2 linked regions of the Drosophila melanogaster genome follow. The protein of the gene in region 1 interacts with the protein of each later gene in a biochemical or structural test. Each region holds a gene or a part of one and is shown on either strand. Other genes may lie near its edges.

Evidence for each region.
Region 2: of the proteins of D (region 1) and pll, one has a biochemical effect on the other in vitro, tested with the Drosophila melanogaster proteins (one study listed by BioGRID).

What each region holds. Positions count from the first base shown.
Region 1 is NT_037436.4:14,174,797-14,180,220, reverse strand, and holds D (dichaete), read left to right. Parts: upstream 1-1,600; 5' UTR 1,601-1,652; intron 1,653-1,728; 5' UTR 1,729-2,882; coding exon 2,883-4,031; 3' UTR 4,032-4,611; downstream 4,612-5,424. UniProt on the Drosophila melanogaster protein: Essential for segmentation and CNS development. May modulate the actions of other transcription factors, including gap and pair-rule proteins.
Region 2 is NT_033777.3:27,250,318-27,254,969, reverse strand, and holds pll (pelle), read left to right. Parts: upstream 1-1,787; 5' UTR 1,788-2,012; coding exon 2,013-2,332; intron 2,333-2,390; coding exon 2,391-3,056; intron 3,057-3,119; coding exon 3,120-3,639; 3' UTR 3,640-3,839; downstream 3,840-4,652. Other genes in the region: TfIIA-L (transcription factor IIA L), read right to left, coding at 242-442, 1,345-1,368; TTLL6B (tubulin tyrosine ligase-like 6B), read left to right, coding at 4,138-4,562, 4,620-4,652. UniProt on the Drosophila melanogaster protein: Plays an essential role in the Tl receptor signaling pathway that establishes embryonic dorsoventral polarity; the signal directs import of dl into ventral and ventrolateral nuclei, thereby establishing dorsoventral polarity.

The sequences.
Region 1 (5,424 bases):
TTTGCCTTTTATATTCGTTTTAATTTTTTCATTATCATTGAATCCATTCTGGACATTGTCAAGTCTTACATTTGCGCGATTGTTCCTGAATTTAATTAAAAAAGAATGAATGACAAAAATTATATTTGCGGAATACAACAAATAAAAATGAAACCAGCTCCCCAAATGACAATTGAATGAAAACAACAACAATCAACAATCGAAAACAACAACAATGCAGGAACGAACAATAAAACGCGAGTCTTTCTCTTTCACCGCGGAGAATCGGTGAATTTCGAATGGGTTAAGCGGTGAGGGTGATTTCTGGCGACAGGATAATGGTTAATATTGTATTCGAATAATAGTAATCACGGCACAACTTGACTCATCTCTCACCTGCCATTATGCGATCAAATTAAATTTACATTTATTTAATTTTCAACTGCACTCTGATACTGTATTTATACTGATAGATTTTTATCAGATAAATATCTGATAAATAAAATGTTTTTCAGTTTGCACGGCACCATAACAAAGAAAGAAAATCTATTATTAGCTTAAGTAATTATTAAATTAGACAGAAAACATATTTAGAGTTTATTTATCCAACTACGAGTATTAGAAGTTTATCATGAATTATTTTACAACTTCCACTAATTTGAACAATATTCTTAAGACAATTTTGATTGTCACTATTCCGCAAAAATGAAATTAAAAATGCATCAGCTAGCTTATTTATTTATTGAATTTGATAGCAAAACACATAAAGAGTATATGTGCTAATAATTTAAAACGTTTATCCTTATTTGTTTTACTCTTTACACTTATTTTAACTGGATTCTAAAAGAATATTTATTTATATAAAATAAGGAATTCATCATAAATTGTATCACAAATGTAACAATTATTTATGCCGCATGTGGGTGGGGAGCGATTTTAGGAAACAGGATCCTGCATTCATCCTACACTGTGTGCTATTATCACTCACTTAGTGTCCTCGTCTGCTAAGTGAAATGCTGAAAACTCAGAAAGAAAAATGTGACGCGGACAAAACTTTTTCCATTACACAACGTACAACAGTTTTTGCTTTCATTATTATTTGAGATTCGTTGTTGTTGCCGTTCTACGTTGTCCTTTCTTCCTTTTTTGGGGAAAGCAGACACAACGGAAACGTTGCGAACGCTGAAAGCTTTTTATGCTCTTACGCTATGGGCCAGGTATAAGAGCTTTGTAAATGCAATTGGAAATTGCACTAAGCTTTGGTGCATCGTTGTGTGGGTGCGTGCATGAGCAGGAGAAAGGCAAAGAGAAGGGTGGGATAAAAGCTCAAAGGGGAGAATGGTTTTACTTTTGGGGTTATGGAGTTTTAAAAAATATAATAGAATATTGCAACCTTATTCCTGAAAGAAACATTTTTATTAAAACAACGGCTCTTGGGGTCAAGATGTTGTTTAATGAAGCAATGTTAAACTCTTACAATCTTTGCATCACAAAAGCCATAAATTATGTCTTCGTTTCGAAAGAGAGGTAAATATGTGTGTTAACAAGAATTTGAAAACTTATTATTATTATTTGGGAAACTCTTTTAGTTACGAATGAAAAAAACATTAGTTTGCGGTAGATTTAATTGTCAATTATTCGATTGCCCTTGTCCTTTCAATCAACATTAAAAGGTTTGTTTTCTTTTGCTACTGCTTATTTGGTAAACCAAAAAGAAAAGCTGGCTAAAACATCTTTTCTATAATAAAGCACAGAGGACCGTTCTACATGCATCTGGGTGAAGATTTGCCTCACTTCCACTGGCTCCTTTGTGGGCTTCTTTCTATGGCCAAATAAGTAAATAATTGCAGTAATATCCTTTCTGGAGCGGCCAGGAAGAAGTGGCAAAAAGGGAACGGAAAAGAATGGAGAAGAATGGCGAGCGAAATGAAAGAATGCGAGAATGGAGAGCGGGGCAAGAGAATGGAAAGCGTGTTTCCATGTCCTTTTCACAAACTAAAAAGTCCTTTCACACACACACATAGTACTGACTACAGAGTACACATAGAGAACGGTATATAGCAGAACACAGACACCCACAATGGACAAAAATTCACACCAAAGACCCATTGTGATTGGCCCAACAAACACGCACACACATACGCGGGGAGAGAGTTGTGTTCTCTCCCTCTCTCGTTCTAACTGCATAGGAGATGCGGAAGTGCAACGCCGCCGTGCAAACAATAACGGAAATTGTGTGCCCACTGTGCGAAAATCAATGTGCTCCCGCGCTCGCCCTGGCTCTCTTTCTCTCTCTCGCTCCGTACTTTGAGCTCCCCCTGCCCCACAGGATTGGGGTCGCTAAATCGAATAACACGAAGCACAGCCGAACGAGAGCTGCCTGGCTTTTGGCTCTATTGAGCTCCTCTATTGAACACACCCCTCAATGGGCGAACAACTATAACCGATATAAAGGAGCCAATGGAACAAAGCCAGTGGAACAATGGGCCGCAAAACGAAAGAGAGAAGACGCTATGTGTGAGTGAGAGCGCGACGACGGCGCAGCTCTCTCCCAGGTAAGAAGCCCAGCCTCTATCCCGCTCGCACCCACGTGGCTTACGTAAAGGTAATGGTGCGAGGGTTGCTCGCACTTCGTGCTCAACTCTCTTCCGAGAGAAACGGGATTTGGCTGCAGTCGTGTAGGCCGCACTGGAACACTACTGAAATCAGTCACAAAAAAGCAGTCGATCCGAGCAGAAGCAAAGCAAGAGCAAAGCAGAAGCAAAAGCAAGACAGTAATTGACATAGAGACAAAGAAAAAATCTGAGAAATCACAGTTGAACCACAGACATATTGTGTTCTAGAAAGTGAAGTGTTGATCTTGAAAGAAGCAAAAGTTAAACAAAGTGTTCAAAATAGCTGGAATGGCCACCTTATCGACACACCCCAATTACGGTTTCCATTTGGGTCAGGCCCAAGGCTTGGAGGACTACGCACCGCAAAGTCAGCTCCAGCTGAGTCCCGGCATGGACATGGATATCAAGCGTGTGCTGCACTACTCCCAAAGCCTGGCAGCCATGGGCGGATCGCCCAATGGACCCGCCGGCCAGGGTGTGAACGGATCCTCGGGCATGGGTCACCACATGTCCAGTCACATGACCCCGCACCACATGCACCAGGCGGTCTCCGCCCAACAGACCTTGTCGCCCAACAGTTCCATCGGATCCGCCGGCAGTCTGGGTAGCCAGAGCAGCCTGGGCAGCAATGGCAGTGGTCTCAACTCCAGTTCGGGTCACCAGTCCGCCGGCATGCACAGTTTGGCCACATCGCCGGGACAAGAGGGTCACATCAAGCGTCCAATGAACGCGTTCATGGTCTGGTCCCGCCTGCAGCGTCGTCAGATCGCCAAGGATAACCCCAAGATGCACAACTCTGAGATCTCCAAGCGCCTGGGTGCCGAGTGGAAGTTGCTGGCCGAGTCGGAGAAACGACCATTCATCGATGAGGCCAAGCGCTTGAGGGCCCTGCACATGAAGGAGCACCCGGACTACAAGTACCGGCCACGCCGCAAGCCCAAGAACCCACTGACCGCTGGACCCCAGGGTGGACTGCAGATGCAGGCCGGCGGCATGGGTCAACAGAAGTTGGGAGCTGGACCGGGAGCTGGAGCCGGAGGCTACAATCCATTCCATCAACTACCGCCATACTTTGCACCCTCACACCATCTGGATCAGGGTTATCCAGTGCCGTACTTCGGTGGATTTGACCCACTGGCTCTATCGAAATTGCATCAATCCCAGGCAGCGGCGGCGGCGGCGGTCAACAATCAGGGTCAGCAGCAAGGACAAGCCCCGCCCCAATTGCCGCCCACCTCGCTGAGCAGCTTCTACTCGGGCATTTATTCCGGCATCTCGGCACCTTCGCTGTACGCCGCACACTCCGCCAATGCCGCCGGACTCTACCCATCCTCGTCCACCTCCTCGCCGGGATCTTCGCCCGGAACCATCACGCCAAATGGTATGGATGGTTCCATGGACAGTGCCCTGAGGCGACCGGTTCCGGTGCTCTATTAGAGTCGAGTTTTAGGTTAGAGTACAGAGTAGAGTACAATTGTTGACGCATTCCCAAAGTGATCCACTGGTTTTAAATCTTCAAAAGCTCTAAGTAAGCCAATCCTCCAAACCACTCCGCTTAATTCTAGTACAATCTTCGCGCACTTCAGATCTAGAGAGTAAGGAGGGAACACACAAAACATTCCTAGCCAATACACAAACTATAAATTATAATTTATTTAGCGCACTCACTATACCGCAAAGAAAATTAAAAAAGATAAACCTAATTGTAAATTAATTTTATTTAGTTTTAAGCATCGAGCGAGCGCCTCCTTCTTGTTGTTTTTTTTCGCATCAGCACCTACCTAAAATGTAGCTTATAGTTTTAATTGTCTAACCCTCTCAAATTGTAAATATCCCTGCAACTATTCGTTAAAGTCTCAGTGTAGCCCCAAATGCGAGGAAAGAACGTACATCAATGTATTATTGTATTATTAATTGTATTGTAAAAGTTATCATCTAAGCGAATAATGGTTCATGAAGGCCAACACAAAACAAAGACATTTAAAAGTGAATAAAAACAAAATGATTTGAGAAAACCAAATTTGAAAACCTGTTTATTCTATTTCAAATAATTTACAGCTTGGAAGATGTGAAACTGGCAATTGGTTTTGAAATGAATGATGATGATTCTCTACCAAATGTAATCACATTAAAGACATAGGTAGAGTTGTTGTGACTGGAATCAGACGAAGTTATCATATATATATATATACCGGGAAAAAGCTGAAAAACAAAAAAGATAATTTTAAGCCTTTAATAGAATGCATTTCCCATTTTCTTAGCCAGCATACCACATTTTACAGTTATGTTATAAATTTACTTTAAACATATGCCCAAGCTATATGTGACTTAAATTTTTCAGCTGATTATATTTTATACTCCATAATTGGATTATCATATTTAAATTCGAATTTGTGTCTGTATTTTTCATAACCTTTAAGATTATACAGGGTCGTGCTCTGAGCATGCATCAAAATTATCAACGAAATTAATAACGAATTTGAATATTCATAAGACCATTAACATAATATTCTCAACTGGATTGAGTGAGTCATTCGGATAAAGCTTAAAAACAATCATTTCATCATCACCTAATAATGGGTATGAATTTTTCTGTTTTGTGAGTAGTATTCGTTTAATATCAAAGTCCTATCCCGTTTCTGATCAAATTAACCTTGTCTCTGGGTGTCTTTACTATTATTTCGCTCATTTCTGTGTGAGTTTTTGTTGGTTAGTTTACACCCGCTGGGAAGAGATGAAAAAACTAAATTTGATTTGCCATTATACAACTATTTGCCGTTGTGTATTAATTTCTATTGATTAATGCGCTGTTTATTTTGCGCCTCCAAGA
Region 2 (4,652 bases), on another chromosome or scaffold:
TGGGTTTTTGAATGGATTTTGATGATGTGCAAAGAGCAGCGCATTAGTCGATGTTGTTGGTGAGGCGCGTTGCATTGTAGTGGTTCAAGTGGTGGAGCATAAGAAAGATAAAGCAAGATATCTTAGTTGGAAATTTTTTTTGGGATGAAGATATCACAATTTGTATGGACTTCTACGTTAAGTTAGACAGACACAAGGATTCGCGATGAGAATATCCACCCAAGGGCTCCGTTTCGCTTACCTTTGGATTGTTGGCCACGATGGGTGGCGGATGGGAGCCATCGCCGGAGTCCGGGCTCAGCTCGACGGCCTTGCTAGCAAGCAACTTGTTGCGCCAGACCTGCTTCATCTCCTGCAGCACCTGTTCGTCGACGCCCTCGTCCAGGAACGCGTCCCGCACATTTGTGATGACGTCCTCGATCACGGCATGGTACACCTTCAGCTGCGGGCGAGAGGGGATGCGGTTAATTGTGTATAATTAAATTTGAAATGCACGACAAATCTGGGCTTGTGTTGACTTAAACACTCATTATATTATCGCGGCTCAACTTCACGCTATTAGGGCCTAAACAGTTGGGGGTAAAACAATAGGGATTGCGCAAAAAATCCACGAAGCAAGTAAAGGGCAAGACGCTATAGAAGTTGAAAATGTGGCGCACAGTATGTGGTGAGCCTTTTTGAGCTCCCATTAAAATTCAGACGCAGCTGTAATGTGAATATGCAAAACGCAAATAAAGTATGTAAATTATTTGTTTGCGAAGAATGTCGCAGTGCACATATGTACATAGATACCATGCATATGCTGGTATATATATATATGTACATTGTACATATATATACACCGGTATGCCAGTTGCTTGTTTTATTAATAGTTTGTTTTGCGTTATCAGCGGACGATAAGGAAGGAGGCCCCGACTTGTAGATAATAGCACAAGCTACGCAGCGTGTATTACTGCTAAATATAACCCCCCATGGGAGTTTGAAGTACTACGCGGAAAAGCCGAAAATCGGAAAATCCAGAGGGCAAGAAACATACAAAACTGCAAGGCAACGAACGCACTAACACAGCGACATCCAGACAGACACGCACTCGCATGCACACACATCCACACCCGAGAGGTTTGCAGTTTTGGTATCTCGGATTTCAGCAGTTGTAACTATCGTTTTGTAGTAACTACCATGACCACTGGGAAAGCTTTCACTTTCCCGCGTGGGCGGCGGAAGGAGGTGAAGCTGGAGGAAATGGAGAAACTCCTTGGTAGGATGCCTTCCATATGTCGAATGCAATGGAGCCACCGCCGCTGACACAATTACCGGATCTCGGGGATCCAGCCGCACACTCACCACCGATGTCTGGCATAGCGCCATTTGGACCTTTTTCTCCGCCAGCTTGAGGCTTTTCCGTTCGCTGGTGGGGCTAATTGACGTATTTGCTGAATTATAAATGGGCGAAGCGAAGAATTAGCGATAGCGATGCGTTCGTGACGGTGTCAGCAGTGTGGCCACCTGCGGGGCACTTGAAAACGACGCATGTCCGCCAAACTGCAAGGCTCATTTGGTCATACACTAATTGCCTTTGGTATTTTTTAAGATATTTTAGTATACAAAATACTGTGCAAATTACATAAAATATGTGGAGGTTATTTAAAATCTATTTAATATTTTCATACAGCAAATACCTTTTTAATAATTACTCTGCTTTCTTTTTACTTCTGAATTTTAAACAGTGGCTCCTAAGCATCTACCACTTTTTCGAGTGTATTATTTGCTAGACATTGGCAGCGTTGCCAGACTGCTTCGCTCTGTTAAGCTGCTTTATCACTTGTTGCGCCGCTGTTAACAAGTCATCCACAGGTTTTCATCGAATCGCGTTGGGAATTTACCCAAAAGCGATTTTCGTTTCGCTGCAACAGGTTACCAGCGCCGCCAACCCCTCATCCAACGGGCACTCTTGCATCCGGAGCCGCATGAATCAGTCGCAACCGGTTGAACCGCCCGCCCATAAGTGAAAGATGAGTGGCGTCCAGACCGCCGAAGCCGAGGCGCAGGCCCAAAACCAAGCGAATGGCAACAGGACCAGGTCGCGTTCCCACTTGGACAACACAATGGCCATCCGACTGCTGCCGTTGCCCGTGCGAGCCCAGCTATGTGCCCACTTGGATGCCCTAGACGTATGGCAACAGCTGGCCACGGCCGTAAAACTCTATCCCGACCAGGTGGAGCAGATAAGCAGCCAGAAGCAGCGTGGCCGCTCAGCCTCCAATGAGTTCCTCAACATTTGGGGCGGTCAGTACAATCACACGGTGCAAACATTGTTTGCTTTGTTCAAAAAGTGAGTCAGTTTGAGATAATAACCGCCGAGATCCCAGAAATGACTCCTCTTACTTTAGATTGAAGCTTCATAACGCCATGCGTCTGATCAAAGATTACGTTAGCGAGGATCTGCACAAGTACATACCGAGGAGCGTGCCCACCATCAGCGAGCTGCGCGCTGCTCCCGATTCCAGTGCCAAAGTAAACAACGGCCCGCCGTTTCCCTCCTCCTCGGGCGTCAGCAACTCAAACAACAATCGCACCAGCACAACGGCAACGGAGGAGATACCCAGCCTGGAGTCCCTGGGCAATATACACATTAGCACCGTACAGCGGGCAGCCGAATCCTTGCTGGAGATCGATTATGCGGAGCTAGAAAACGCCACGGACGGCTGGAGTCCGGATAATCGACTGGGACAGGGCGGATTCGGAGACGTGTACCGCGGCAAATGGAAGCAACTGGACGTGGCCATCAAGGTGATGAACTACCGCAGTCCCAACATCGACCAGAAAATGGTGGAGCTGCAGCAGAGCTACAACGAACTCAAGTATTTAAACAGCATCCGGCACGACAATATCCTGGCCCTCTACGGATACAGCATCAAAGGTGGTAAGCCGTGCCTCGTCTACCAGCTGATGAAGGGCGGCTCCCTGGAGGCTCGTTTACGAGCGCATAAGGCACAAAACCCACTACCAGCACTCACCTGGCAGCAGCGGTTTAGCATCAGCCTCGGCACGGCTAGGTGGGATTTATCGTTTCTTTAGTGCTATCAATCTTCTTTAACTTTTCATTTCGTTTCCAAAAGAGGCATCTACTTTCTGCACACGGCGCGAGGCACACCGCTGATTCATGGAGATATTAAGCCGGCCAACATCCTGCTGGACCAATGTCTGCAGCCAAAAATCGGAGACTTCGGTCTGGTGCGCGAGGGTCCCAAGTCCTTGGACGCTGTGGTGGAAGTGAATAAAGTTTTCGGCACTAAGATCTACCTGCCACCGGAGTTCCGCAACTTCAGACAACTCAGCACGGGCGTGGACGTCTACAGCTTCGGCATTGTGCTGTTGGAGGTGTTCACGGGTCGTCAGGTGACGGATCGCGTGCCGGAAAACGAGACGAAGAAGAATTTGCTGGACTACGTTAAGCAGCAGTGGCGGCAAAACCGGATGGAGCTGCTAGAGAAGCACTTAGCAGCACCGATGGGCAAGGAGCTGGACATGTGCATGTGCGCCATCGAGGCGGGCTTGCACTGTACTGCCCTGGATCCGCAGGATCGCCCATCCATGAACGCGGTGCTCAAGCGTTTCGAACCGTTTGTTACCGACTAGATGGGCCTTATTATGTTACCATTTTATTGACGAACTTGAAAAGCTCGAAGGACCATTTGTAAACCATTTCCACATTTTGTGATCAATCGCAATATATATTTTTAACTTTAACATTCCAACGAAAATTTCCCTAAAGACTTATTGTTATGCTTAAATTGTAAATGCTTACCCTATTGTTTATTAAATATTTTTGTACACTTAGTTGTTAGTGGTATGTTTGATGTTCGGAGAAACTAAATTTATGATATGCCCCAAATCGATGATTTAAAACTCAAACGACTCAAGCGACGTGGCCAGTGGAGCTACGTTTTGATTTTAGCGTCATTTCGGTTATAATTATTTTCATTTTCACAACACAATCATCGCAAAATAATATTGTTTTTATTCGTGACGCAGAATTCCGGCTCTAACCATTGACACGAATCAATTTTATAGATATAGCTTTTAGCACGTGAAAAATTTTCAATTTTTAATCAAGGACGACCAGCGGACGAGACAATGAATTTAAAAAATTCCAAGTTTTTCAAGAGGATTCAGGAGCTGCGCCACTTCTCCAAGGAGAAAATACGGAAGGATCGCGAAAAGAGGACCCACGTTGTTCGCGCCCTGGACATGGCTCTTAATGAGCAGCCGTGCTTGGACCGGGAATGGTTCAGTCCGGAGCAATCACCGCCACTGCAGCCCATGTCCCCACGCCGCCGGATGAAGAAGACCCGGTGCCTCAAGAGGAGGACAGCCGCCGACAAGCAAGTGGATGATAACTCCCCATATTACGGACCATCTTCTGGTGAAAACAGCCCAATGCCTGCTGAGGAAGCCAAGCTGCAGGGATTCATTCAACTGAACAACAAGACCTACCGAGTGGAATGCCCCACTCGGGTGCTCAATCCTCCCATGAACGTCGACGAGGAGCGGCCAGCCAGGTGATCTTCCTTAGCTTTGGATCCTTATTGGATAACGCATCTAACATAATCCCCCAGCGAAACCAAGAGTACCATCTGCGTGTCCAACTC